4 linked regions of the Caenorhabditis elegans genome follow. The protein of the gene in region 4 interacts with the protein of the main gene of each other region in a pairwise test. Each region holds a gene or a part of one and is shown on either strand. Other genes may lie near its edges. The genes, in order: lys-8, cdk-14, arrd-13 and C18B2.5.

What was found.
Region 1: the proteins of C18B2.5 (region 4) and lys-8 interact in a two-hybrid assay, tested with the Caenorhabditis elegans proteins (one large-scale study listed by BioGRID).
Region 2: the proteins of C18B2.5 (region 4) and cdk-14 interact in a two-hybrid assay, tested with the Caenorhabditis elegans proteins (one large-scale study listed by BioGRID).
Region 3: the proteins of C18B2.5 (region 4) and arrd-13 interact in a two-hybrid assay, tested with the Caenorhabditis elegans proteins (one large-scale study listed by BioGRID).

The regions. Positions count from the first base shown.
Region 1 is NC_003280.10:5,584,615-5,588,161, forward strand, and holds lys-8 (LYSozyme), read left to right. Parts: upstream 1-1,563; 5' UTR 1,564-1,564; coding exon 1,565-1,815; intron 1,816-2,123; coding exon 2,124-2,400; intron 2,401-2,596; coding exon 2,597-2,929; 3' UTR 2,930-3,037; downstream 3,038-3,547. Other genes in the region: C17G10.13 (THAP-type domain-containing protein), read right to left, coding at 3,089-3,547.
Region 2 is NC_003279.8:841,227-848,738, reverse strand, and holds cdk-14 (Protein kinase domain-containing protein), read left to right. Parts: upstream 1-1,975; 5' UTR 1,976-1,993; coding exon 1,994-2,143; intron 2,144-2,247; exon of another isoform or gene 2,248-2,568; intron 2,569-2,596; coding exon 2,597-2,656; intron 2,657-2,739; coding exon 2,740-2,809; exon of another isoform or gene 2,810-2,890; coding exon of another isoform or gene 2,891-2,918; intron 2,919-2,977; coding exon 2,978-3,125; intron 3,126-4,399; coding exon 4,400-4,678; intron 4,679-4,726; coding exon 4,727-5,026; intron 5,027-5,641; coding exon 5,642-5,824; intron 5,825-5,877; coding exon 5,878-6,022; intron 6,023-6,064; coding exon 6,065-6,193; intron 6,194-6,762; coding exon 6,763-6,903; 3' UTR 6,904-6,997; downstream 6,998-7,512. Other genes in the region: ZC123.1 (Sperm mitochondrial-associated cysteine-rich protein-like), read right to left, coding at 7,083-7,115, 7,159-7,512.
Region 3 is NC_003280.10:13,756,517-13,761,767, forward strand, and holds arrd-13 (Arrestin C-terminal-like domain-containing protein), read left to right. Parts: upstream 1-1,891; 5' UTR 1,892-1,904; coding exon 1,905-2,089; intron 2,090-2,240; coding exon 2,241-2,346; intron 2,347-2,845; coding exon 2,846-3,008; intron 3,009-3,596; coding exon 3,597-4,379; intron 4,380-4,431; coding exon 4,432-4,577; 3' UTR 4,578-4,719; downstream 4,720-5,251.
Region 4 is NC_003284.9:3,606,372-3,612,877, reverse strand, and holds C18B2.5 (G domain-containing protein), read left to right. Parts: upstream 1-1,785; 5' UTR 1,786-1,787; coding exon 1,788-1,880; intron 1,881-1,938; coding exon 1,939-1,998; intron 1,999-2,048; coding exon 2,049-2,198; intron 2,199-2,245; coding exon 2,246-2,488; intron 2,489-2,536; coding exon 2,537-2,614; intron 2,615-2,679; coding exon 2,680-2,773; intron 2,774-3,049; coding exon 3,050-3,216; intron 3,217-3,269; coding exon 3,270-3,576; intron 3,577-4,283; coding exon 4,284-4,366; intron 4,367-4,421; coding exon 4,422-4,645; intron 4,646-4,701; coding exon 4,702-4,864; intron 4,865-4,910; coding exon 4,911-5,246; intron 5,247-5,897; coding exon 5,898-5,999; downstream 6,000-6,506.

The sequences.
Region 1 (3,547 bases), on a different chromosome or scaffold from region 4:
ACGACAACCTCCAAAGTCTTCATATCACACCGAGAACTTCGACTTTCAACAATTCTTCACAGCACCTCCAAAAATGTAAACTTTGACGTCACCAATGATTTTTTTATGATGATTTATGATAATAAAGTGAGAGAGAAATGTGTGTGTATTCAGAAGGAAAAAACATAAGTAAATACAGGAAGAAGCTAAAAAAGAATATATATTCGTTTTTTTACGATATCATTGAATTTCTGATTTTTCAATTTTCAAAGGAACATTGGATATAGAACAAGCTATATGATATCTGGAACATCAAAATGTGGCATAATATTAAAAGTAATGAAATAGGCGGTAGGCACATAGACAGGCAGGCGGGCAGTAGGATCACGAAAGAAATACAGAACATCGACGACAGGCATGAAGGTAGACATGTGGCAGGCAAGTACGGATGGAAACTAAAATACTGAAAACCCAATGTAGGTAGGAGAGCCTAAAGAGGTCCCTGGATATAATTGAAGCCACTTTAAAGTTAAGTAAATATACGTTAACTGAAGAATTCAACAATTTGGCCAAGAATTAGTTGAAATTAATAATGGATCAAAAATCTTCAAAGTTTTTAGAAAATACCAATAATTGGCTTCAGGACTAAAATTTATCGTTTTTGTTATTTGTTCAATGAATAGACAGACACGTCACTTTTCATTATCAAATACTAAATTGATCTCGAAATGGATCTACAATTTCAGCTGTTTCAACAATTCGAATTCTTTACTCTCTGTTCCTCTGGAAATGACATCACTTCTTAAACTCGTCATCTTCGTTTTTATTCCATCCAAAGACAAATCTCGACTAATTGAATTCACATTAAAAATAGATTAATGATTTTTAAACAATTGGATTGCTCACAGGGGCTATCGTTGGATGTTAGTACAGTTTAAACAGACATGTTAAACGGTAAAAATATAGTGAAATGGGAAAAATTATGGAACAAGAAGGAGAATGTTTATTCAGCTGCAAATGGGATTTTTGTATAAAAGAATTGGTATAGTGCTGAAGGAGAATATCATACATTTTACAGTTCTAGTTTTCAAGAACTTTCAATTTTCTTCGCTGTTATGGTCAAAGTTGAACGTAAAACATATGCATAATCGCTTTGAAAATCTTACCACTATCTGTTAGTCAGAAAAAAATTGTGTTCACTTATGAACTATCAATTTAATAAAAGACAACAAATTGTCATTTACGAGAATTTGAACCTAGAAAAAATCATCAAAACGCCCACGCTCAATTACCGGTATTCCACATAATTTGTGATGTTCTTTTCATCGACATTAATGACATAAAAGTGTGTACACAGTTACTGATAACAGAGTGTGATATCATGATAATGTTTTCCGAAATTATAAATTCAGATGGACAAGCGGTACTTGCCAGCTCTTTGATAAAGACTATAAATCATGATAACCACTCCAGTTTCTTCAACATTTCGGTTTAGTATTTGATTTTTATAAAATTTGGTTTCTTATTCTTTGTTCTTTTTGTTAATAATTTTCTCTTAACTCATTCAAGTTGAACATTTTCTAGAATGCTTCTCAAATCAGTGGCTCTTTTGTCAGTACTGGCAGTACTTTGCCATTCGGCTTCAGTCTCCGTCAAGGTCCTTCCATTCGTTGACTCATCTCTTCCAGTCAAATTCAGAGAAGTCATTGCTGAGGCTGCTCCACGAGTTCCACCAAATTTGGCTTCATATGCTTTCGCTGTTGATTTGTCTGTTCCAGTTTCATTGAGCCAGCTTCAGTGCCTCAAACAAGCTGGTTATTCGGCAGTCTTTGTCCGGTAAGAATTGAAAAAGATTTTATGATTTACCTATCTATAAATTGTTATTTATAAAAAAAAGTTGAATCTTTTTTTGCCCAAGGTTGGCCCAAGTGTAAAGATATTGTCAACAGTTGAATTAAACTTGAGCTAAACCAGAACAAGTTCTGGTCATGTATTGTCACTTCAGAACCTTTTTAATATTTTTGGCCAAACTTGGGCAAACATTTGCCTGCTTTCGTTTCTGATTAATTCATTTTTCGATTCCAAACGTTCATAATTTGATGAACATTTTCTAAAACTCCATAACAATTAAATCGAATTTCCAGTGCATACAACCCAGCTGGACAAGGATCCTTCGACACCAACTCCTGCAATACTATTCAGAATGCGTATAACGCTGGACTCGGAACAGAGATCTACATGACTCCACAGCCGGCTTCAAGCAAGCAAGGATACCAACAATTGGATGAGATCTACCAAGGATTGACTGCAAGAGGAATAACAATCAGATCTGTATGGATCCAGGTCACTTCTCCAACCAACTGGCCAAGCAATGCTAATAACAATGTCAACTTTATCAACAGTATTGTGTCAAGAGCTAGAGTAAGTTTCCTGTAGAAGCTTGATTTTTTGCTCAAGGAATTGAAATACATTCAAATACGAAAACTCGAATGATTCGTATTATAGTCTAAAACATTGATTAATCTGATAAGACCTTTGGGTTAAGACGTTTTTAAACTGAACCGATTAGTTCATACTTCTGCAACAAATTTCATATCAAAATTCATATAATTTACAGCAATATGGAATGACTGTCGGAATCTACACTTCCTACTACGACTGGAACCAGATCACCAACGGATGGAGCAGCATTGGAAATGATGTTCTCCTCTGGTACTGGAATGTCCTTGGAGGTGGTGTCAATGGAGAGACCCCGGCCAGTTTTGCTGATTTCCGCGCGTTCGGATGCTGGACTACTCCATCTGTCAAACAATTCGCTCAAGTTGAGCAAGTTTGCCAGTTCACTGTCAACAGAGATGTTTATGCTGCTGGAACTATGCTCAAGGCCGCTGACGCTGTTGAAGAGGATGGAAAGATCTACGCTGGAGGATTCATTCAAGGAAGTCAATAGATTTTATCAGTTCCGAAAATAAGTGGAATTTGACTACTTATATTTTGTATCTAACTGTACCCCCAATATGTTATGAAAATCTGAAAATAAAGTTTATTACAAAAAAACAAAACACGAGAATCTAAAAACAAATAACAACAAAACAATGCGAGCTTGGCTCTAATTTTCTATATCTATTTCCGAGTCCGTTCCCTTTTCCATTTTGATATTCGTATTGTCTTCTTTGACTTCAACGAACGTGTTTCCTTCAAGCTTGAATGCCAGTACTTTCTCCTGGGAAACAACATTTGGAACAGCTGTTTTAAGAAGTCGTCCACGAGAACTGAAATCCGCTTGCGGGAAATGTTTTCGACACATGTAATTTGCAGGTTTCATTCGAAGACGTATACGGAATTGTTCTCCTAATATTGCCACCCATCTGGCAATTCGTTGCTCGGTTTTTGGAACTTGCGTCATGTATCGCTTTTCGTACACTTCCAAGCAGTAGCAGCATTGTAGTGGATGTTCCATGTTTTGGTTAATCATTGTATATGATCTATTTGGAAGACTGGGTGTGGTTTTCTTGATAATTCGAAGAATTGAAGATGAACACGAATCTTCTTCAAGTTTCTGTTTTCT
Region 2 (7,512 bases), on a different chromosome or scaffold from region 4:
CGGCCACGTAGAAAATTTTTGAAGCTTTGAAGGATTTGGAGGTGTGGCCTTGAATAAAAGTTGGTGGCCGAATTTTCTCTTACACGGCCAAGTAGTGAAAACCGCCCATCGAAGTGGTCCTGTACTTCAATTTGAGCAAAAAAGTTTTAAAAAAGTTTGTGGCCGAACTTTAGTATGCACGGCCATTTTCCACAAGTGGTTTCTTTTTTATAAAGTTTTGGTAAACCTTTTTTGATAGCCCGAAAAAGTTAGTGGCCGAACTTTCTCTTTTACGGCCACGTAGGTAAATATGCTGGGCCAAATTTTTAGCGTAGAAATTCCAGTGACCTAGTTTTTCCCTCTCGTGGCCTAGTTCTCTAGAAACTCTTCGACATTTGGTTTTTGAGCTAAAATGAGCCAAGAAAAAGCGAAAAATAAGGAACAATAGGCACACTTAGAATGACCAATTACTATTTTATGAGAGAAGCGCCGCCCGTCTTTTTTTTTCTTCTTTTTTCCCTACTTATTCTCTCCTCTGTCCGCTATTAATGCATTTTAAATTTGGCATTGTCATTTTTTGTCATATCTGAAAAAAATTTCAAAATCCCACGGGGTTCTGGCCTTCCTCATTGAATTTTCGCGCTCCATTGACAATCGCCTGCCGGACAACGCTTGGGAAAGTCGTGTACTCCACACGGACAAATACATTTAGTTTTACAACTAAAATCGAGCCGCGACGCGCCGTAAATCTACCCCGAATATGGCCTGGCCTAGTTCGGCAAAAACTCTTCCATTTCAACTTCTGAGGGACGTCAGAAATCCGTGCTAGTTGTGTTTAATTTTTCTTCACACATTTGTTTATGTTTTAGAGTGGCCTATGCAACGACACTCCGATGTTATGCGCGTGTTGTTTAGAAATAAGCCACTAGGTACATACTAAAAACTGTGAAAATTTAGCACCTGGATCGTGGCGAGACCCACTCGGAAAATCAGCGTGTTCCTTTAAACTGACATGTCAAATTTGAGTGATGTCCCTGCATATTCATTTTTGAAGTTCTATCACAGTTGGGGAGTAATGCGAAAACTCTTCCAACTCAAATTCTCCGGTGACCTAAAAACTCGGAAAACTCTTCCACCAAGCAGTGGACATGGACCTTAAATCTACGAAGAAAACATGGAAGGTGTGTAATGTAATTTCAAAAAATTATTTTTTTTGCCCAAAAAAAGGACAGTAATGGCTGAAAAATGGCTGAAAAAAATTTTGGAAACAATGAAAAAAATTGTCTAAATTTGTTGAAAACGGGTAATTCATATATGCAGAATTCAGAAAATCTAGGTTTAGAAAACTATTAAAAAGTGGCAAAATTGAGCAATTTTTGTAAAAAATTACAATTTTAAAACTCTTCTAAAATGGATAATTTTGAAGCTAGAGGACTCAAAATTGATCTCCGAACCTTAAAAATTGTCTTCTTGCATAATTTAGTAGTTTCGAACATTTTCAGAGAAAATTTTTTTTTGCCCGAAAAAAAGGACAGTCATGGCTGAAATATGGCTGAAAAAATTGGGGAAAAAATGTAAAAAATATCTAAATTTGTTGAAAATTTTTTGGGCGAAAAATTCCCGCATTTTTTGTAGATCAAACTGTAATGGGACAGCCCAGGTGTCTCTAAAGATTCCCGGTAACCTAGAAATGCCAAAACTCTTCCACCATCCAATTTCCTCACTCTTCCTGCTTCCTGTTTTTCACCGAACCCACCCAAGTCATTTTTCATCTGTCTTTTTTTTCTTCTATTTTCTTTGTTTCGAAACGGCTGAAAATGGGAATGTGGAGGCTTTAGTAACCCATTAACGCCCCGCCGTCACACCGGCTTCTCCTCTTCTCATTTCGTAGTACGGCTCCCTCCTCCGAGCAGCTCTTCATTTTTCCACCCCCCCCCCCGCTGCTCCAAATTATTCGTTCACGTTCTTTTTCCCCACCCAAAAATTTCACTTGCAGATACCATCTTTCAATCAAATGTGGGGAAAAATAACCTCGCATATTGGAGTATGGTTTGGGCTGGAGGAGGCCGAGAGGCCTATGAGAGCATCGTGCTCACTGTCTATGATACATCATCCACAGCTCACCGCTGTTAGGAGTTCGAAGTCGTCGGAGAACTTGCATAGGGTGAGTTTGGTATTTTCAAGAAAAATCGAAAAACCGAAAAAAATTATAAAAATTGAAATTAAAAAAACGCCTCAAAAACGAAAATTCGTCGATATTTCGATTTTTCGATTTTTCAAAAAGGGTCATTTTTTGAAATCCTAGGCCACAGTCGGTCGGTAAATGAGGATATTTCTTGTAAGCCTAGGCCTAAGCGTGAACCTAGGCCTAAGTCTAAGCCTAAGCCAAAGCCAAAGCCAGAGCCTAATCCTACGCCTGAGCGTAAGCCTAAGCCTAAGCTTAGGCCAAAGCTCAAGCCTAAGCCCAGTCCCAAGCCTAAGCCTAAGCCTAAGCCTAAACCTAAGCCTAAGCCTAAGCCTAAGCCTAAGCCTAAGCCTAAGCCGAAGACTAAGCCTAAGCCTAAGTCTAAGCCTAAGCCTAAGCCTAAATATTTCGATTACGCTCCACATATTCCAGATCACCACAATGTCGCCGCAACGAATTCAGGACGTGGACGGCTCGCCGAGCACCCGGAAGGTCAGTAAGTCACGCCACCCCCTCTAAACTTCCGGCGATTCTGCATCTCTTCCACAAGACACAAACACAAAACATTATTCCAGCCGTCCTCGTCAATTTTCACTTTGCGTCGGAGTCGGAATAAGGAGAAGAAATACAAGAATAACGGCGGTGGCGAGTTTTTTTTTTCGAAATTTTAGCCAATTTATTCTATGGGGTGCGGGGGGTGGCACAAGTTAGTCAGTTTACACAAAAATGCTCTCCAGAGTCTTCTCCCAAAAAGGTTAGTTCCGAAAACATATGAGCCCCCATATAATTCCACATTTATTTCTGTTTTTTCAGGAGGCTCCACCAAATCTCCGATCTCGAAAAACGGAACAAATGAAATGACACAATCATGGCACTCCAATCATGTGAATGGGGCATCATCGGGGTCCGGAAGTGGAAGCACACCAGAACATCATAATAAGAATATTTTCAGCTTTTTGAGGTAAGTGGTGGAGATTCTTATTAGGTTGTATATTGAAGTAAGACTATAATTACAGTAGTTTCGACACCTTGTTATGTTTGTTATAACTTACCACGTGGTGTCAAAGTGCCTCATTTTGGTTTGATCTCCGAGAAATGCGGGAGAAGAGACGCAGACTTTTCAACTGGTATCGCATGGTTAAGAGTGTGCTGACGTCACGTTTTTCTGGGGGAAAAATTCCCGCATTTTTAGTAGATCAAACCATAATGGGGCAGCCTGACACCACTTGACTTACTAGTTATATCTGACCACAGGCAAAGCCGGTACGGTCCGTTTACGGATCTTGGACCGGGAACGGACCATTAACGGGTGAACTACGGATATGAAAAGCGGGACGGACCAATTACGGGCAAACTACGGGGAATGTAAAAAAATGGCCATTAAGAGGAAAAAATGGATTTTAAGAAAACGAATTTTTTTAATACCTATGATACCAGTTGGCTAATTTAAGCATTTTTACGTCGTTAAATGCATTATTTAGAGCAAAAAACACATTTACCGACCGAGACGGCTCTTGAGCCGTAGTTGGGCCGTTTCCGGTCCGTAGAATTTTCTTTTCAAAAAAAAAAAATTTGAATTTCCCGCCAAAATTTTTTTTTCTCAGAAAATTTGATTTTCCCGCCAAAATATTTTTGTCAGATAATTTCAATTTCCCGCCAAAATTTTTTTTTCTCAGAAAATTTGATTTTCCCGCCAAAATATTTTTGTCAGAAAATTTCAATTTCCCGCCAAAATTTTTACAGAAAATTTGAACTTCTCCCCAAAGTTAATTCCCAGAAAATTTGAATTCCCGCCAAAATTTTTTGGTCAGAAAATTTCAATTTCCCGCCAAAATTTTTTTGTCAGAAAATTTCAATTTCCCGCCAAAATTTTTTTGTCAGAAAATTTCAATTTCCCGCCAAAATGTTTTTCTCAGAAAATTTGAACTTCCCGCCAAAATGTTTTTCTCAGAAAATTTAAATATCCCGTCAACACGTGGTGTCAGGCTGTCTCATTGCGGCTTGATCTACAAAAAATGCGGGGATTTTTCCCCCAGGAAAATGTGACGTCAGCTTAATCCTGCAAAATCAGTTGAAAAGTCTTTGTCTCAACTCCCGCATTTTTTGTAGATCAAACCAAAATGGGGCACTTCGACACCACTTACGCCAACATTTTTAATCAGAAAATTTAAACTTCCCGCCAAACTGTTTTTCTAAGAAAATTTTCCGAATCAAACCCTAGTAATACCATTTCAGCCGCCAATCACGTTCCCGCTCCAACAATCCATCTGAAACCATGTCAACCGTGCCCCTAAACAAGAACTCTCCATCAATGCCACCACCACCATCTAGCAACACTGTGGCCGACTTCACACATCTTCGAAGACGTCGACCACGATCAGCACACTACGATCCAAATACGATAACGCTTCCTGCGAAGGAGGAAGTGACACCGCAGGATGTGAATGATCTGTACAAACGAATTGACAAGCTGGGGGAAGGATCTTATGCAACGGTGTATAAGTGCGAATCGAAGTTAGATATTTTAACAGCTGATATTACCAAACTAAATTATATTTTCAGACTTGACGGATCCATAGTCGCCTTGAAAGAGATCAAACTTCAATTTCAAGAAGGTCTCCCATTCACCGCTATCCGTGAAGCCTCGCTTCTCAGAAACCTCCGTCATGCGAATATCGTCTCTTTGCACGACATCTTCTATCAACACCACCAGCTAACTTTTGTGTTCGAGTACATGAAAATGGATTTGAGCAAGTACCTGGAGCAGAACGTCTATGGGTTGGATAGCATTGACATCAAGCTTCTCCTCTTTCAACTTCTCCGCGGACTCGATTTTTGTCATAGGAAGAAGATTCTTCATAGGTTAGTTTTCAAACTGCTCCCTAGTGTTGATAGGGCTCCCAGCAGAGTGAGGCGCGAAATTCGGGCCTCACGCCGACGCCGTTGAAGCGCGAAAGGTGGTCATTTGGAGCGGCCGACACGTTCGGGGTTCCGCAGCTTGGCGTGAAATGAGTAGCCTGGTGTGTGCGCAATGAAGTGCGTAGAAGTGGTTGTTCGGAGCGGCCGACACGTTGGGGGTTCCGCAGCTTGGTGTGTGCTCAACGTATTGCGAAAGGGAGTTGTTTGGAGCGGCGGACACGTTCAGGGTTCCGCAGCTTGGCGTGAAATGAGTAACCTGGTGTGTGCGCAATGAAGTGCGTAGAAGTGGTTGTTCGGAGCGGCCGACACGTTGGGAGTTCCGCAGCTTGGTGTGTGCTCAACGTATTGCGAAAGGGAGTTATTTGGAGCGGCGGACACGTTCGGTGTTCCGCAGCTTGGCGTGAAATGAGTAGCCTGGTGTGTGCGCAACGTAGTGCAAAAAAGTGGTTGTTTGGAGCGGCGGACATTTTCGGGGTTCCGCGGAGGCCGGCGCGGCGACCGCTGGGGTCGGCGGAGGCGCCGTTGCGGCCATAACTCTTGATAAAAACTGATTTTCAGAGATTTAAAACCACAAAACTTGCTTCTCGACGAAGACGGTGTTTTAAAACTCGCAGACTTTGGTCTAGCCAGGGCGAAATCTGTGCCGAGTAGGACATATTCTCACGAGGTGGTCACTTTATGGTACCGCCCGCCTGATGTTCTCATGGGAAGTACCGACTATTCAACTTCCCTGGATATGTGGTAGGAGGATATTATTTTATAAAAGGTACCAACTATATCTACTAACTTTGCAGGGGAGTCGGTTGCATATTCGCTGAAATTTGCACGGGCGCCGCTTTGTTCCCGGGATCCAAGGACTCTCACTACCCCGGCACCAAGGACCAGTTGGATATGATCTTCAGCATTCGGGGTACTCCAGACGAGAAAAAGTGGCCGGAGGTGAGGGAATCTAAAATCTAGAGATAAAGATGTTTGTTTCAGGTAAAGACATTACCAGGCTACACCCCTGAACTGTTCCCCAGGTATCGGGAGTTGTCGTTCATCGCGGTGAACCCGATGTTCACGAAGATTCTGAAGACTGGTCAGGAACTTCTGGGGATGCTTCTTCAGGTAAGTAGACTTGTAAAAACCACTCCTTTAGTCCCGAAAAGACCGAATATCATAATAAAACGTTTCAAAAAAATTTTGAAAATTTTTTATTTACTGTAATTTTACCACTCATAATTTTGGAAGTCGACCAACAAAAAAAAAATTTTTTTTCCTACATTTTTATACTGTAATTGTGTTTTAATTATTTGTATTAAAATATTGTAGGGGTCGGAACATGCGACATTGCTCTAGATTTCCTCAATTGCTCATTTTTCAAAATTTTAGCAGTTTGCCAAAAATTTGACCTGAAATTGTGAAAAATCTAATTTTTTGGATTGTTTTATTATGAAATTTGGTTTTTTTTTCGGATCATTATGTATGTATTTTGACAAAATTTTCACTGGCGCTACTCCACCTTTAAGTCAGTCCAGGCCTACTAGTCTAATCTTTGACAAATCAGTCTTCGCGAGCTATATTGAGCAGCAATCTTTGAGTGCAAGCTCAAGCCGAAAGCTTAAGCCCTGGCTGCAATGCTAGTCTAAATGAATCGACATCGAGCTACACCTATCTTGTAACCCTCAAAATTACAGCTCCGCCCGGAAAGCCGTGTCTCCGCAGCCAGTGCAATGCTTCACCCCTACTTTGCCTCATTCCCCCGCGAGGTTCATCTCCTGGCTCCAAGCCAGTCAATATTCCGGCTCAAAGAGCTGAAAGATCTGCGATCACTATAACGACCAAATCTACTACATCTCCAATTTCTTTACACATATTTTCTTGCTCCAAATTGCTACGGGTGCTAAAAGCTAATATAAATGTATGTATGTACTTATTTGTTTTATTAGTCATGTTGAATTATTATTACGAGGTGGTATTTATGTGATATGTGAGAATCGGAGGGAGTCGCTTCAAGTTATGAACGTGTTCCTGGGCATGGGTAGCATTGCTGAAAACTTTAAGATAAGGAAGCTCATTAAACCAACACCTACCGCTGTTCCGAAGTCTCTCTTCCTCCGCTTCAGACCAGTATCCTGTGTACAGATGTTACAGTCTTCTCCCAAAAAGTTTCTCTTCACTCTATGCCGACACTGTGGGAATGCCATGCAATTCTGCTCCGAGACGTTGATATTCGGCTGCCCGAAGTTTCTCTTGACACGATGTGGCGTGAGCCCAGAGACTCCACACCTCGAGCACTTCTTACGACGGAACACGGCTTCTCGTTTGGTTCTCTTGTCTGCATAGACTTTTTGGAAGACTGCGTACTCGACGTTGTTCAGGCAATCGTCACTTTGTTGGCAGGAGCGGCGTTGCTTTCTGCGGGTCTCGATGGTTTCCTCAGAGGA
Region 3 (5,251 bases), on a different chromosome or scaffold from region 4:
AACAAGAAATTAACAATAGGAATTGAGGTTTCAGGGATTTAGGCTAGAGTTTAGTTTTTTTTTTTTTTTTTTTTAGTTCTTTAGTTTTTTTTTTACTTAACAGTTTTGTCTGAGGAAATATTTTTCTGAGTAGTGTGTGTTAGTCACCCCGATTTTGCATTTATTCCTAACAAATATATAATAGGCTGGGTTTTGAAATTCTATTTAAAAAAAAACTGGTCCTATAAAAACGGACGATGAAATTAATGAATTTTTTTTATTTTTAGCATGTTTTAAAGCTATTTTTCTCCATTGTTTGACCTTTTTTGCCAATTTGCCCATTTGCCGGAAATTTCAATTCCGACAAATTGTCGTTTTTCCGACAAATTTTAAATTCCGGCAATGTGCCGATTTGCCGGGATTTTTCATTTTTGGCAAGTTGCCGATTTTCCTAAAATTTCGGCAAATCGTCAATTCGCCGGTTCCCCGATTTGCCGGATATTTTCAATTTTTCCTTTTTTTTTTCAAAATTTGCAATTTGCCGATTTCCTGATTTGCCGGAAATTTCAATTATGGCAATTAGCCAATTTGACGGATATTTTTAATTCCGGCAATGTGCCGCTTAGCCGAAAATTCAAATACCGGCAATTTGCCGATTTGCCGGAAATTATTAATTCCGACAATTTGCCGATTTTCCTAAAATTTCGGCAAATCGGCAGTTTGCCGGTTCCCCTATTTGCCGGATTTTTTTTTTCAATTCCGGCAATTTCCCGATTTGCCGGAAATTTCAATTCCGACAATTTGCCGATTTTCCTAAAATTTCGGCAAATCGGCAGTTTGCCGGTTCCCCTATTTGCCGGATTTTTTTTTCAATTCCGGCAATTTGCCGATTTGCCGGAAAAATCGTTTGCCGCCCACCCCGGGTTCGGCCATTTCTAGCATATTTTTCTCCGTTGTTTGACCTTACAAATTAACTTTCCCGAATGTCAGAAATTTTATCACTATTTCCTATTTAATCAGTAATGCTTCTCCTATGTCTTCTTCCGTTTAGCTTATCAATTCTTCCTGTTTGTGAGCAACGTTTCTTTTTCACAAGTTTAATGGAAAAACGTTGGTCTTTGCCCCGTTCTTTTATCCTCGCTGTTCCCTTTATTTCTCTGCGGCTCTTGCGGAGTGCGATTTTTTTGACCTTCAATACTGCATGTGTCTGTTTGCTTTGTTTCGAGCGGCTATTCCGTAATTTTCATGAAATTGTAAAAAAAAATCTAGTAAAAAATCGTTTAAGAAATTAGAATCAGTTATTAATTTTTTTTTAATTTGAACTTTTAAAATTTATTCTATTACCCAGACACGAGATTTCGCGATTTTTGAGCCACAAATACCAAACACCGGTCTCAACACGACAAATTCTTGATAGAAAGGAAAAGGCGTTCGCCTTTAAAGCGTACTGTAATTTCAAACTTTTGTTGCTGCAGCGATTTCAAATTTCTATGGATTTTTCATAGTTTTATTTTTATATTTGAGAGTTTTTTTTGCTATATTCATGTTTTCCATAAATTAATACATTTTTTTTATCGAAAATGTGTTTATTAGTTATTGAAAACTAAAATCAATTAAAAAAGAAATTTTGAAACTACAGTACTCTTTAAAGGCGCACACTCCTTCTCAAGTACGCAAACACCACATTTTATGACAATTTCTGCAAAATTTATTTCGCTCCTTTTTTTTGAATTAAATTAAATTGTTTTTTTCCTTTCCTTTTCAATTAAAATGCATAATTTTTTTCTATTTTTTTAAAATAAAATATTAAAAATCAAAAATTCGTTTTTTTTTAAATTTTCAGTGTTCTCTCCACCGATTTTCTTCCGGTTTTTTGAATTTTTTAACGATTTTTTAACGATTTTTGTCTAAGTTCCAGGGTTATCATGCCAGAAACGGAGCTTCACGTGATATTCGACCAGCCTAACGAAGTTTTCTTCCCGGGACAACCGATTTCCGGCCGAGTGGTGCTCTCAACGACGAAGGAAAAATACAAGGCTCGGGCGGTGAATATCAAAATTTTGGGATTGGCTCACACCAGTTGGACGGATTATGAGAGTGTTCGCAGAGTGTAAGAAATTTAAGATTTCTGTAGAAAATTTCATTTTTTTTTTGACGAAAAAGCTATTTTTCAAATTTTTTAAAATGGAAAATTGAATAATCAATAAATATTTCCGAATTTTCGAATAACACTAAAAAATTATAAAATTCGAATTTTCCAGTGACGCCGACGGAAAAGTGAGCCACCACCGGCAATCTGTGCACTACTCTGCGAATGTGAACTACCTGGATTATACATTGCTTCTGTGGGCTTGCAAAGATGGATCGGTAGGGTATTTTGAATCAGGGATAGATAGGCAAACCGGCAAAATCGGCAAACCGGCAAATTGACAATCTGCCGCTTTCCAAATTTCCGGCAAAGATGGCATATTGCCGTTTTTCAAGTTTCCGGCTAATTCGGCATATTGTCGTTTTTTCATATTTACATCAAGTTCGGCAATTGCCGTTTTCCAAATTTTCGGCAAATTGCTGTTTTTTTTTTAAATTTCCGGCAAAGTCGGCAAATTGTCGTTGTTCGAATTTCCGGCAAAGTCAACAAATTGCCGTTTTTTCAAATTTCCGGCATATTCGGCAATTGCCGTTTTCCAAATTTTCTGCAAATTGCTGTTTTTTTTTTAAATTTCCGGCTAAGTCGGCAATATGCCGTTTTTTCAAATTTCCGGCAAAGTCAACAAACCGGCAATTTTCCGATTTGCTGAAATTTTCGGTAGCTCAAAATGAAGAATGGTTGAAAATTACAATTATTAGATATCTGAATATTTGTCAGAACGAGTTAGCAGCTGGAGAATACGCCTGGTCATTTTCTTATAATCTTCCTCTCAACGTTCCGCCAAGCTTTGAGGGAAAATATGGATATTTGAGATACTCGGTGACAGCTGAAGTGGATCGGCCATGGAGATTGGATAAGGCAAAGAAGCGATGCATCACTGGTAAGGGCTACAGTTTTAAGCCTAAGCCTGACAATCTAAGCCTGAACCTAAGCCTGAGCCTACGCAGCTGAAGCCTAAGCCTAAACCTAACAATCTAAACATAAGCCTAAGTCTAAGACTAATCCTAAGCAGGAGTGGCATTTTTCGATTTTTCGATGTTTTTTCAGTGAAAATTGAAAAATCGAAAAGAATGTTAAGAAAATTAACCATAAAATATGATTTTTTTTAAAATCTAATTTTGCTTATATTGATGAGAAAAAAACATCAAAATTAATTCTAAAAATAAGAATAATGGCCAAAATATTGTGCTAATATTTTGGAAAATCTAAAAAATTTTCGCAAAATCAGAAAAACGATAATTTTTTAAACATTTTTCGATTTTCAAAAAAATCGAAAAACGAACACCCTTGATCCTAAGCCTAAGCATAGGCCTAAGCCTAAATCTAGACCACTGTCTAAGCCTAAGCCTAAGCCAAAGCATAAGCCTAGGCCTAAGCCGAAGCTTACGCCTAAGCCTAAGCCTAACGGTCTAAGTCTAAGACTAACATTCTAAGCCTAAGCCTAAGCCAAAAATTCAAACATTTTCAGTTTCCCCACTGATCGACCTCAATGTGATCCCCCATGCACTCACCCAAATCAACGACCAGGCTAGCGAGAACCTTGGCTGTTGCTGCTTCAAAAAAGGATATCTCGAACTTCGTGTAAACATCCCGAAAACTGGATTCGTACCCGGCGAGACTGTTCCCATGAACATCCATATTCTAAATCACTCCTCCGTTCCCGTCACCGAAGTCAAGGCGAAAATTATTCAGCAGTGCAAGTTCATTGCATATCGAAACGGTACCACCTTCCATTATGGCGGAGGCTATGAGACTGGAATGTCCGGACAGCTTCAGGAAACCAAACACGACACGAAGACCGTCGTCAAGCATGGCCAGGAAATGACAGTGGCTCCCAGGAATGAGCACAAATTTGCGATGGAGCTCCGTCTTCCGTCTGTAACTCCAACCATCAATCAGTTCTCACCGGTGATTACTGTAGAGTACATTGTGCAATTCCACGTGGAGACCAGCTCAACATTCGGGAGTGATGTTGATTGTGAAATGGGGATCCTGATTGGAACAGTGCCTATTCGGCAGTTCCTTCCACCAGCCTACTATCCACAGGATCCGAATCTTCCACAGATCCTGCCAACTCCGATTGGAGGAGGGGTTGTTGCTCCACCACCAGGGTATGGATTCTTGCCGATGGCAGATGGCTCGGAGAAGGGAGCTGGTGATGCATCATATCCAGCTGCCAGCATGCCAATGTATCCTATTCCGAATGTCCCATATCCTAGCAAAGATGATGGTACTGTAGTGATTCCAAGTGGTGAGTTACTCAGAAGTCCAGCACAATTCTCTAAAATTGCAAATTTTTCCAGCTCCACCACTATCCTACGAAGAATCAATGTTTGGACAAGATGGAACCGAGCTCAACACTGATGAAAATGAGCAACCATTTGCTCCAAAATACCCGGTTTTCAACAATTTGCCAGTTTATAATCCGACAGCGCCACCACCGGAATAATCCGAAGAATGAAGGATTTTCATCGGACTCTGCCCTGCTTTGCCGAATATTGTTCAAAATTATCATTGCTTTTAAAATGTTTTTTTGCCTGGTTGGATGTGTTTTTGTTTTATTTTAATGCATAAATTATTAAACTTCAATCGAATACTTGACATTGAGCAAAAAATGACTAATTGCCGGAATTGAAATTTCCGGCGAATCGGCAAATTGCCGGAATTGAAAATTTCTGGAAAATCGGCAAATTGCCGGAATTGAAAATTTCTGGCATATCGACAATTTGCCGGAATTGAAAATTTCTGGAAAATCAACAAATTGCCGGAATTGAAAATTTCTGGAAAATTAACAAATTGCCGGAATTGAAAATTTCTGGAAAATCAACAAATTGCCGGAATTGAAAATTTTTGGAAAATTAACAAATTGCCGGAATTGAAAATTTCTGGAAAATCAACAAATTGCCGGAATTGAAAATTTCTGGAAAATTAACAAATTGCCGGAATTGATAATTTCTGGCAAATCGGAAAACTGCCGGAATTGACAATATCCGGCAAGCGGCAAATTGCCGGAATTGAAATTTCCGGCGAATCGGCAAATTGCCGGAATTGAAAATTTCTGGAAAATGGGTAAATTGCCGGAATTGAAAATTTCTGGAAAATGGGTAAATTGCCGGAATTGAA
Region 4 (6,506 bases):
TCCTTACCTCCTTCATGCAATCTACTGTACTGATCTTTTGCCTATCTTGCATTTGCGTTTTGCTCAAAAAATAGGACTGACGGTTCTGGGTATTTTGAACGAATAGACTCAGAATATGCTCAATTGTAACTATTTCGTGTAAAGAATTTTTATGGCGGTTCAAAATTTCAAACAAAATTCAACTAACTTTAGTTAAATTGAAAAATAAAATAAAAAGCCATGAAAATTTTTGAATTTGTTTTTGTTCAGCACATTTTTTCATTTCAGGTCATTTTTACATTATTCGTCATCACCACGGCTTGTTAGTATTCCTTTGAAAAATTTGAAACTGAATTTATTTTCTAATAAAATTATGACCAACGAAAGCAATTGTGAAAATAACTTTTTTCCTATGGAACCGTTTTGTTTTGAAATTATAATTTATTTTAATTGAACTCAAAACTAAAAAAAATCCTGCGTTTTTTTGAAACAAAGTGCTTACTCATTGGGTACCTAAAAATTAAGAACCATGGTCTTAATTTTTTTTGTTGAGTTTTTTTTTTTTAAATAATTGTGTTCTCATGCTAGATTATTAAACACATTTTCTATCAAAAAAAAATGCGCAAATGCAAGGTATCAACTCGGGAGAATCTTATTCATTTTTCAATTGTTTTCGCTTGTATTTTTTTCCAACCTTCCTCCGCTAGACATGTATTTGATGGGTTTCACCTTTTTCTTCCAATTTCAGTTCACGTTTTTTTGTTCAGCATCTCTTTTTTCCCCTCTTTTCAAAAGTATTCAATCTTATGCAATGTTGTTCTCAATAAAAGCAATAATGTGTTCAGTCCTTTACATGCGAGCAAACAGTCCTGAAACTTAACTGGCAGAGAATTGATATGCGTGTGGTTTATCATGTTTTTTCAGGGTTCTATAACTGGAAAGAAACTTATCACAAAGAAGAAATTCCACTCTTTACATTTTCAATTTTTGAAAGAATAATGAAGCTATGTTTTCTTTTCTTTTTTTTTGAACTTTTGAACTTTCAGGTAAAACAAAAAAGTTTTCTTAAATCTATTTTGGATTCAAATCGAGGAATGCCTTGGAAACTGATTTTTTTTTCACTAAAAGATTGTATCTTAAGAACTTTCGTTCCATTTTCTAGTCAAATTAAACTGTAAACTATTATGTCCTTCAATTGGGATGTATTGTAAAATTTGACCCGTTCCAAAATTATGATGGCATCTACTCATTTTTGTAGAAATAAAACCCAACCATCTGCTAGTCTCGGCAAACAACACGCGAACTTTGTTTTTATCCCCTCTCACTCTCAGTTCAGTTCAGCGCTCTCCACCGATTTTTTATTTTGATTTAACTCGTCAATACTCTCGTTCCATTGTTACGGTTGTTAGCTGCATATACAATACGTTTTTGGCGCCTGACGCGAGAAGGTGTAATGCGTGGCACGCATTGATAAGCGACACGGTTTGACAGGAAACTTTTAAGCAGTGCTCTGCCATTTCTGTCTTTGCACTCCATTACACCGTGCAATTTGCCTTTTACCGATCTTTCGTCACGGTCAATCATCTCCGTTTTCAGCCAGGTTTTTCTGTTTCAAATATAATTTCACGGGGAGTACAATAGGAATGGTTTGTCTTTGATGATAGTTGAGCAAAGTTTGCAGAAATAATCATATTTTATATGTAGCATAAGTTTGTTTTGCTATTTTTCTTAATTCTCACTGTTTATCGTTCTCGATTTTTCCATTCCCACAATTTAACAACTCCTATTATTGTGTCTTTTGTACAGACATGTCGCGAAGCACGGCTGTCAGCATCAACTTGGATGACGTCTTTGGCAACCTTCCAGCGTTGACATCTGCCACCAACGTGAAATCTTCCGAGGTAACCAAAAATTTCGCAGAATTTTTGTATTTCCAATAAATTTTGAAAATAATTTCAGTCTGGAAATAGAAGCCGCAAGACAACTGCTTCGAGTGTATCCACTGTGAGAGAGGTTCCGGTAAGAGTTCATTATGGTATAGAGCTCATAATACTTGTAAACTTTTCCAGATTGGAAACGGAATCCGATCACATGCGACATCAACTGTGGTGTCCCATCCACCACATGCAGTATCTGCACCTCCACCACCACCAGTCAATGTCACCCCAATTTCGCATTACTACGATGCAACTCCAGTGAATGACGATTTGATGAACTCGGTAACTATATTTTTAACTGAACCACTTTTCACAACAACGTTTTAAAGGTCTTTTCCGCTGTGACACTGCCAACTGTCAACTTGCACGGAGGACATGACGATGCTCTCCGTCATCTCGACGAAGCTTTGTATGGTGAGGATCACGAGTCCATCGTCAGTGAGCCACCATTTCAAGCTCCAAGCCATGTGAGCTCGTCACATGTTACATCTCATGTTAGCTCGCACAGAAATCAGTATGCAAGCGAACATCACCCACAAAACGCAAGCGTAGTGTCAAACGGATCTGCCAAGGTAAATTTCAATTTTTAGGAACTATTCGGGTAAGTTGGTCCGTTTTAGAGGCATGCCGCTGCACGAACTGGAAGTCTCGTCGTGAACAATGTTTTCAACGATTTGAATATCAATTCTCAAAGCTATGCAAGTTATTTGCATTGTGTTGAAAATAGATTGTTTTGAATTCAAAGTAAGTTCGTAATTTTCAGCACTACGACGCCTACGGATCTGAGCCGCAGCCGGATTATGAAGACGAGAGAAGTGACCACTTCAATCTGAATCATCAATATCCAATCAGAACGGGTGAGTGTCACTTTTCAAGACGGAAATAAAAAAAATTGTAGAAGCATGTAAATAAGTTGCAACGGTCATATTTCTGCTATGAGTCAGTTATTGAGGAGTGAACAGTGGTGTAGGCTTTTGTTATGCACATTGAACATAACTAGTCATACTCTTGTCTGCTCAAAAATGTTTGACTATTTTTATACTCAAGCGGGTCGTAAGTGTATCCGAAATAGTACTAGTTAGTTTTAAAAAAAGTTGCATATAATCAATGTATGTTTAAAAAAGTTATTTTAGCACAACCACACCGTGATCGTTCCAACACCATCGATAGCTCCGCATCGTTTGCTGAAAGCCGTTTCGGACAATTCGATGTTCACGATGAGCATGACCGTTACCATGGTGAAGAAATCAACCTTCATCATGACGAAGTGGCATATGAACGCCCACGTTCTGAGCTCAGCGTGAGAAAATTATCAAAAAAATCTTCATTATCATTAATAAAGTCTTTTTACAGTCACCAGGAAGTGTGTACTCTTCCCATACCCAAGCTTCGTTCCACACTGGTGGAACCCAGAAGCTGAGAAATCTTCAACGCCAAGTTGAAGATGCTCACGCGAAAAAAGCTCAGCTCTCTCATCAAGTTGACCGTCAACGCGCTGACAATGACCGCATGACTCATGCTAATTTGGCTCGTGAAGCTTCATTGAAGGTCAACAAAATTGGACAAGGTGCGAAGCCACAAGGCTACCACGTTCGCTCGTACAGCCATGAGCACGATCATCATCATTTGCCGCCACAGCCGAAATCCAGCCATTCTTCAAGTAAGTTTTAGAGAATTTAATTAGACTTATAAACACGGTCTTAACAAACACTCAAACTTGCCAAAATAACAAGATAATCAGGCTTCATTTTTCTGAGGTCGAAGTGAGTGTACCGTAGGAGTACTGCAGGAGTACGGTAGGATTACTGTAGTTTTCGTAAAATTTGATATAGAGCTTTTGAAGAGGTTGCGGTTTGCTGACATAACCGTGATAGTTTTTTTTTTTTTGAAAGTGTAAAATTGTTTCAAATCTTTCAAAAATGTTAGAAGCTTTACAAAAGTTTGAGGCTTTCCAAAACACTTCCGAAAAGATCACAATGCTCTAGAGGAACTTGTGTAGTATACCATACCCAAAACTATTATCCAATACGCTTTCAGTCGTTTCTTTCAAAAATGATAATATAATCAAAACTTGAACTACATTTGCATTTTTAAGCTCAGGAAACACTAATCCCATGCCTAATGTAGATTTAAAAAAATCACGAACATTTTTAAAATGGTTAAAACTTTCGGGCCAGGTGTACTGCACACACTCTACAAAAGTGTATAAATTATTTAAAAGAAAAAAAACCATGCACCTGCAAAAATGTGTGGCAGTTTTCAATTTTCTGTTTGTTCAATTTTCTGAGTACAATCAACGTTTTCTGTGCGAACTTCTATGTAAAACATATTATTTAAATTTTCTATTGCGTATATCGAATATTTAAGAGAGCGTGGACTCAAGCATCTACGAAGAGGAGGAAGCTCGTGTCAGCCCACTAGCTGCTAAACAAAAGGCAGCAGGAGAACATGTAAGTCATTTATTTTTCATATGAAAATTATTTTAATATTCTTAAAAATTATTAGATTGCAAGCAGCGGAAAATACGAGCTCGTTGTTCCACAATACTATGTTGTTGAAAACTTCTCCAAGAATGACAAGATCAACAAGGTTATCATTGGAGGAGATGCTCCACCAAGTGACGATGACAAGACTCTGCTCCTGTTCGGTCCAGTTAATTCTGGAAAGACTTCTGCTATTACCAGCATGATGAACTATTTGTATGATGTTAAGAAGGAGAATGATTTCCGGTAACTTAATTTTTTAATTTTCAATGTTATAATGTTCATTATTCTTCTTTTTTCAGATTTGTTTTGGACGAGCATGTGAACGCAACCACTGGACTCACCGCCTACGTTTTCAACAACACTGTTCTTCCTTATAACGTCACTGTTGTTGACACACCCGGGGTTGAGGACAAAATGGGCAACAAGACGGTCTCGCGACTTATCAAGCAGTGGTTTGAGAAGGTGAACTATTGAAACTTTGCAAAAAATTCTAAATTTCACGTTTTAGGAGCTTCTCAAATCTGGATCCTTCCGTCTTGATGCAATCTCAATTGTTTTGAGACACGACGAGAATCAACTGGGATGGCCGTTCATTTATGAGTTGGCTGATGTTAAGAGAATGTTCGGAGACGATTTGAAAACAAACGTTCTGCCGATTATCACCAACTCTGAAGTTCTCCCACAGCCAATTGCCATCAAAAGTCTCACACAGGCCAACATTTCTTTCCTTGAATACTACAAAGTTAACAACTCGGGATTCGCACCACTCCCAACAGGAATTTCCAAACTTCAACATAATCTCTACTGGACACACGGAACAGCTTCGTTGGAGAATCTTTTCAGAGTAAATATTATGGGTTGGGGAAGTGAAATTTAAAACTGAAAATACTAGGTGTCTCAGTCTGCGTATTTAACTCGGTTTAGTTGAAAATAACTGAAAATAGTACACTTTATTTGAAAAGTAATTTTGGCTTTCAAAAATCATCTTTCAAAAATCATCACATGAAAGCAAAGAACATAAGTATAAATTGAGGCGTCTCAAGATTATTTTTCAACCCGTCCGGGATCAAATTCAATTCAAACTTATATTGAAAAACGTATGCAGAAAAAACTGTATCTGATGAAACTTTAACATATTTTGAACTCCAACTTCAGCATAATTTTAATTTATTTCATATGTATGGGAAGGCTTTCAAATATTCAAAATAGAAAACTTTCCATGAAAACTATTCCGGTTTTTATAGTAATTATGACATAAAATTTTTCAAATGTGCTTATGAACATTTAAATAATTTTTTTAAACATATTTATATATTTTTGTTTTCGGTTTAGTTCTAAGCTTTTTTCATATCAAGTTTTTAACTCATATTAACTCACTTTTCAAAATTGTATTAATAATGTTCGAATGTGAGAGATGATATTAATTTTTGCGGTTTTGATAGGTCAGCTTATTATCTATGCTTCTGAAACTACCTTATTAAATCTTTCACTTCAGGATTTGCAAGAAACTGTCCACCCACTAGTTGCCATCCTCCGACACAACAAGGGACAAAAAGTCGAACAAGCTCCAGTGTTTGCTGATAAAGTGTTGTATTAAAAAACAATTTATTATTATTAGTATTATTATTTGTGTTTTCTGATTCAATGGTTTCAATTTAATCTCCGATCCACTCATTTTGTATTTATTGTTCGACTTAACATTTTTATCCAACGCGACTCGATAAACATTCCCTATCAATCGTTTTTTTTGTTTTTCAGCTTCATTTCTTTTCGCTAAGGAACTAATATAATTTTTGGCAGAATAATATTGTTCATTGATATTTAAATCAAAAATACAAATAATATTATAGGAAATTCTAGAAATTTCGACATATCAGTTAAGAGGAACGCTATTACAAGTGTCAAGTTTTACAAATATGATTACCTAGTGTATAAAACGAATTTCAGGAAATTTTAATTTTCAAAGTGTACAGAGAAAGCCTAGATTGATAGATACTATCACTTTCAAAAGTTCCTTAAAATTCAAAGCAAATGATGATACTCATTTTAAAGTGAATTAAAATTGTGAACATAACATTCGAACTTTTTGGAGCTTAGGCCGGAT